Xenopus tropicalis: one gene and its partner. The protein of the gene in region 1 interacts with the protein of each later gene in a pairwise test. Links are inferred from orthologs where the notes say so. Each region holds a gene or a part of one and is shown on either strand. Other genes may lie near its edges.

The links. The genes of interacting proteins can lie anywhere in the genome.
Region 2: the proteins of egfr (region 1) and wasf3 interact in a protein complementation assay, tested with the Homo sapiens proteins (3 studies listed by BioGRID and IntAct, with this or other methods). The link is inferred for Xenopus tropicalis from reciprocal best matches to the Homo sapiens genes EGFR and WASF3.

What each region holds. Positions count from the first base shown.
Region 1 is NC_030682.2:56,863,676-56,867,175, forward strand, and holds part of egfr (epidermal growth factor receptor), read left to right. Parts: coding exon 1-136; intron 137-704; coding exon 705-837; intron 838-1,370; coding exon 1,371-1,461; intron 1,462-3,500. UniProt on the Homo sapiens protein: Receptor tyrosine kinase binding ligands of the EGF family and activating several signaling cascades to convert extracellular cues into appropriate cellular responses.
Region 2 is NC_030678.2:155,678,455-155,681,954, reverse strand, and holds part of wasf3 (wiskott-Aldrich syndrome protein family member 3), read left to right. Parts: intron 1-1,712; coding exon 1,713-1,866; intron 1,867-2,863; coding exon 2,864-2,981; intron 2,982-3,500. UniProt on the Homo sapiens protein: Downstream effector molecules involved in the transmission of signals from tyrosine kinase receptors and small GTPases to the actin cytoskeleton. Plays a role in the regulation of cell morphology and cytoskeletal organization.

The DNA of each region.
Region 1 (3,500 bases):
GAAGTGAGTGATGGAGATGTTATCATTAAAACAAACAAAAATCTCTGCTTTGTTAACACCATCAACTTTACAAACATCTTTAGAATACCGAAACAGGCAAGGATAATTGAAGACAACAAAAGTCCTGAGCAGTGTGGTAAGTTTCCTTAGATATCAGGTGTAATTTGTGCCTTATGGTATGTATGGGCTGGGAGACTGGCTTCTTGTAAAGTTTATGGCAGACAGAGTAGATCATGGCATTCAGATGTCTACACATGTTTAGACACTGCTTAAAGACTACAGTGTTGGATCACTGCATTTTGAGTAAAAAAATACTAGCCTCAACTGTTGAAGAGGATTTTAAGGTCAGAAAAATGCATTGATTTCTTAATTGAATGTATTTTATTTATATTTGTTACAATTACACATTGTATTTTAAAAGATAATGTGTCCTTTTATTTTTATAAATAATTAATTAATTAATTACATAATTCATAATATATGGATCTGCTATTACTACCTCCATTAGTAAAATGATTGGTATTCATTGCTCAATGGCAGCCACCGTCTGTCCTTCCTGAAATCCCTATTCAAAGATTGGGCTCTGCCCAGAGCATGATTATGAGCAATCTACAGACCCATGGTTTATAAAAGTGAAATGTATTATTGTGGCTTATTTTTTCTGTAGGTTACCATAATCTAGTTTTCTGTGTTGGGTTTTTTAGAAAGTGAAGGCAATGTTTGTGATCCTTTGTGCTCTGAGGAGGGATGTTGGGGACCTGGGCCTTTTCAATGTGTTTCCTGCCGTAAATATATGCGTGGAAGGGAATGTGTAGAAAACTGCAACTTTCTTAGTGGGTAAGTTCTTTTAGAATTCTACCTCAGTAATGGGCTAAATGCAAGATCGCACATATAGCCTGTCACAACTCAAAAGTGCAAAGCATGATGTTTCCTGCAGATGCACAATTGCACAATACCTTTTATAAACTTTTACATTTAGTATAAATATTATACTGTTATATTCTGCATAAAGTACATTATTTATTGGTAGAACTTTTTATATACATTTGTACATAAATTTGTATGCAATGTTTATTCAGTGCCCAGTGACACTCCAAAGATATTTACATCTCAATAGAACTTTATTTATATTTATGTGTTAAGGAAGAAAGAGGTTTTATTGGTACACATGTAGTAAATGTATATAATATACACACATATATGTATGTATATATATATATATATTTTTTTTTGTTATTTCAAATCCCCTGGTATAACGTTGAACTTATCTTTACTTTTTCTCTATAATACTGAGGGCATAAGCAGCCCTGTACTTTGACGAGTGTATTGCATATGTTTTAATGTGTGACTGTTTCTTATATGCCTACTAGGGAGCCACGAGAATACACAGAAGATGGCAAGTGCTTTGCCTGTAACGCAGAGTGTTTACAGCTGAATGAAACCCAAACTTGCTCGGGTCCTGTAAGTATATAATATATGTGGTTGGTACCAGGCCTGAACTAGCATTCAAAATAGGATCTGGCCCAAACAACCCCCACCAGTCCAATAGTGACTCTCTATGGCATCTTACAGCAGCACCTCTGGTATTTGCCAGAATCCACAGATTGCGAGTTTTGGCCTAGTTGGTACACTGGAACAGCTGGCTTCATGTAGTCTTAGGGCTCTGGCACACGGGGGAGATTAGTCGCCCGCGATTAACTCCCTGTTCGCGGGCGACTAATCTCCCCGAGTTGCCTACCCCTGCCATCCCACCGGCGAACATGTAAGTCGCTGGCGGGATGGCAGACGCGAAAATCGCGAGTCTTTTTCGGCGATTCCCTGAAATTGCCCCGCCGCGTCTGCCATCCCGCCGGCGACTTACATGTTCGCCGGTGGGATGGCAGGGGTAGGCAACTCGGGGAGATTAGTCGCCCGCGAACAGGGAGTTTTATCGCGGGCGACTAATCTCCCCCGTGTGCCAGAGCCCTTAAAGAGCTTGCTTACACAAAATCCAGCCCATGGCAGTCAATAACAGCAATTGACTTAGAAAAGATAGGTTAAAGGGAAAATTGTGTTTACATAAAGAACCATACAATGGTTAAAGATTTTTCCTTATACCATATACATACAGCAACAAGAGATCAAAAGGTTTAAAAAAAATCTTGAAATTTTTGTATCATCTGGATGAAATAAGATACTTTCAAAATATAATTATTAAAACTGAAGGACCATAATTAAGTTACTTTTCACTAAGCCCTCACAGCAATCTTTCTTTATACTGGTGGGTTGTGTATCAGTTAGGTTTTTTAATGGACATTTAGCTGGAATTCTTCACTGCGACCCCTCTGCCTTGCTAATGTATTAAACTGACTCACAAAGAGACCTTCTGAGAGAAGAAAGTGACAAGTAATTTGATTACTCCAGAAACATTGCACAATTTTTAACTATGTATAAAAAGGATGGTATTTCCAAAATGTGTTACATTTTGGTTTTAATAAGAGCTCCCCTTGAATTGTACTTTATTTGAAAACACCACTACTGATGAGGTTAATACCAGGAGGTGGTGAAACATTTAGTTTAGCTGTTAAACCAGGGGCATAACTATATAAAGCAGACCCCACAGGGTGGTAGGCAGTGGGGGGGCCAGGTCCGTAAGGTCTGTTGCATCATAGTGCCCCCTATCCAGTCCCTCTTCTACCTTATGGATACGGCCACACTGGACTGAAGAGAATCAGCCTCTATGCTCTGAACAGGCTTTCCGGGTGTGTGCAGTCAGAGCCACTTCGTCAGCCCTGGTACAGGCACATAGAATGAATTTCACTGATGAAATGCATACTCGCAACTTGTGGTACCAAAATCCACACTGGGTTTCTAATCCTGGACTCAGGCAGTGGCTTGGGGTGCAGGCACAGATGTAGGCTGATGTCAGCATACAAGCCCCATGTGACTTAAAGGAGAATGCAAGTCAAAATTTAAAAAGCATACTGCCCAATAGTCCTCCTATTGTTTAGTAAAAACGCCACACTTTTGGCTCACCTAATCAAATATTTACTCAGTCACACTTACTTCACATTTTCTAGAATAGGCAGCCATCTCCCTTCCTTTCCCTCCTTGCTTCATACTGCACATGTGTTTCATTCCCTCCCCCCTCCCCTCTGCCAGAACTGCTTCTGATTGGCTGGTGGGCATGTGTAGCTCAGAACAGCAGACAGGATCAAGTTACACACATGCTCAGAGAATAGGAAGGCTGCCGCTGGCAGCCTACAGGAAGGACAGAGAGATTTCAATGATGTCACTGTAGTCTTCACACTGCTGTAGGCTGCCAGCACCATATCTCAGAGAAGCAAGCAGGGATCTGGGAATTTAGATATGCAGTAAGTACTTAAAAAGAATGCCTTTAGACTTACTTTTAATTTATATTAACCTTTCATTGTCCTTTAAGCCAAAAACTAGACGTAAGTGGTGAGCGAGCCAGGAGGGGAGGAGGGACTGTTCATGCTGGGCCCCTCTGAAGATTTTTT
Region 2 (3,500 bases), on another chromosome or scaffold:
AATAGTGAAAGGAGGGGTGACTGCAATTATATAATTTCCCCCCTTAGTCAAATAGTAGCTGGTTAAAAATTAACAGCAGCCCAAGAGCAGAAATCAGAATTTGGGTCTTGGAAACTGATTATTATCTAATGATGTTAGGCATTCTTTCCCCTTCTGATTGTTTAGTGTTTGTATAAGGTCAGTTATATATATTTTTGACCTTTTCACTTGCCTGTCCTGGAAAATAAAACTATAATTGGGCTGTAATAGGGTTTGAATAATTTATCGCTTTGTTTAATGGTTGGGCTCTGAAAGGATCACCACAATCTATTAACCTCCTAGCTTGAAGCAATTGCAAATTAGTCTATTTGGTTACTGTCTTAACACCCTGCACAACATGCCTTGTGGAATGTAAAATGGTCTGTCATTGAGCTCTGAGGTTAATGTTATTAGTCAAAATTGTGTTCTACTGCTATACAGTACTACTGTACTACTACAGAGCTAGTAGTAGCAGCTACTCACCATAGCTACAAAAACAGACAATGCGGATCATTTACTGATAATTGTCTCTACGTGTGTTTTAGCAGAGGCAATTCTCAGTATTGTCTGTGGCAGAGTAATTTTCTGGCGTTTAGTAGCCGTGACAAGTAGCTGCTACTAAGCAGCTCCGTCTGTCTTCGCCCTTAGAAATAGCTGTTTCGGTGGCCAAAGCACAGAATTGAGAGATATGTACAATTAGGGGGCTAAGTCAACCCACATTGCATAGCCAGTTATTAAGTGTGGTGAGGAAAGTAAAGGAGGTCTAGTAGTGACTTCTCAACAGAGATAATAATAGCTCTTGTGTATTATATCTTAGTAGAGTTATAATACACAAGAGCTATTAAAGGAGAAGGAAAGTCATTTTGGCATTGTACTGCCAATAGATTCGCCATATAAGTGCCTTAGAACGCTATATTTATTTTGCAGAAAGCATTACCATACCTGAGTAAACAACCCTAGAAGCTTTCTCTGTTTGAGATTGCAGCTGACATTTTAGCTTGGTCTTCATAGCTTCCTTGCAGCTTAGTCATTATAGCTCAGACTACACATTCCTAAGGGAGGGGGAGAAAACTGCGCCCTGGGAAAGAAGGAAAATAAATCCTGTGTTTCTTTTGATAGAGGACTCAGTTCAGCTTTTCTATGAGTGCTTATGGCTGTATTTACATAGACCTTTCTGATAAAGCTTACTAGGTTTTTACCTTTCCTTCTCCTTTAATATGCTATAAATTATACCCTTATTATATACAAGAGCCATGAATATCCTGTAAATTATATCCTTATAAACGGTGCTTAGTGATGTCATCAGTTATATAATTAGAAATTACAGTACTAATCACCATCACATGACTAACTTGTGTATTATAATTATTTACCCCTGTTGTAAAAAACGTGGATATTAGAGGTCACCAAGGAGGTCCATGACCTGTATAAAAGCACTCGGCCTATAGACAGTGCTTGGTGATATCTTGGGCTCTGAAATTTGGCTTTGTCAGGCTCTAAAATACAGACATGTTATTATGGACCTTGTATGTTTCCATCATACTGCTTCTACTCAGCACAGACGGGGTCGAATTTGATATGGTATGAACCGGTTTAACCCATTAGCTAATCCGCTAGTGCACATAAAAACTGAGGTTGATTCCAGTCTGAATCGCACATTTTCTTTGACCGCCATGTTTTGTGTCTAATTATAGTGTCTCTGCAAGATATTAACATGCGCAAAGCGTTCAAGAGTTCGACCACACAGGACCAGCAGGTCGTCTCAAAGAACAGCATCCCGAAACCGGTCATTGATATATATAGAACGTGCGACAGACCTCCTCCTCTCGATATACTTTCAGCATACAGGTTAGTAGTGTGCGTCTTGATTGTGTTTCCCAGTTCTACCAAACAATCCCAATCATAAAAAGACATTTGATTTTAACATTCTCCTTGAGTTGAAATTAGAGTAAAACCTATGCTGGCTGACACCTATCATATCACTCCCTACAGGCAAACTTAAGCTGGGCATACATGAAGCAGATCACCCACTTTGCTCTGCTTGTGTTGTTCACCTAGGCGGAGGTGTCCTGTGCTGCTTGCCTATCTTTATTTATAGGCATGGCATTGGGGTGTGTAGACTACACAGAGTGGATATCAATGCAGAAACGCAAAACTATGCATTTTTCTGCTTGGGTGAAAATGTATTTGGCCTGGGATACGAGGCATCTGAAGTGAGGAGCATACACTGAAAATTGCACTTACTTATATTTGTAAAAAGTGTTTGGGTGAAAAATGCAGTCTGAGGAAAGCAAGAGAATTTGTTTTTTTGCTGAGTTCATCAACAGAGCAGAACTTTGCCTGATTTGGCCACCGACATGCCCCTATGCCAATAAGCCAATCATATGGGAGGACTAGGGAGACCTGCCAATGTGGTCCTCGCTTGGTGGGGTTTTCTAACCCATCTGATAGATATCTTGATAATCAGAAATCAGTTGGGCAAGCAGTCCAAGGGACTCGTACACAGTCCAATAAGCTGTCAAATCGGTGTGGAGGGGTTGAGACAGCAGCTTTTATCAGCCCACGTATAAGTGATGTGCTGCTTAGGAAAAACTCAACCCACACCCTAACTTGCAAAATGTTGCCATTGTAGCACAGTCACCAGGGACCACATAAAACAGCCAGAAGTGCCGTATTCGGCCCCCAGGCCTTGTATTTGACACGTGCTATAAGCCATTATTAGAGTATCAGAGCTGATAAAGTAGATCCATGGCAGGTATGAGCACTGCCATATTTGCCAAATAAACACTGATCCTTATGTAACAGAGCTTGCAAGTGATGTAAATATTCACCTTTATCTTTTTAGAGATGACAAAAAGGACAGCTTAAAGTTCTACACCGATCCGTCGTACTTCTTTGACCTCTGGAAAGAAAAAATGCTGCAGGACACGGAAGATAAAAGGAAAGAGAAAAGAAGACAGAAGGTAAGAGTTGTAAAAAGTACCTGCTAAGTTTCCAACATATGTCGCAATAGCATGGAAACCGGACCTACTGTGCAACCGAATGGTACTTATCTGTCCATTTCTGCACACGCTGTTAATATAGTATTAGTTGCCTAGCAACACCCAGTCAGATTTTTGGACATTCTTAGCTGCCTGCCTTGTTTTTAGTGCACTAGCCGTGCATGCTGTGTATGTAACTTGGCAAGAACTGATATTATTACATATGAAGGTATGCAGTAATACACAAAGATACGCTACACTGACAGATCTGCCAGCTATTTTTCATTAGATGTGCAGTTATCTCTTTTATTTCTTCACTCTATTCATATATGTAATATAATATATCATGTCAATTTTAGCGTTGCTTGGGAGTTGAGGCATTGCTCTTTGCACACATATGGCCTGCATAATGTTTGAGTGGCTAAAAAATGAGGATTTCTGGTGATTTGGCTCATTTTAGGAAATTGGTTTATCAGCTAGCCTAGAATTGCATGGGCCTTT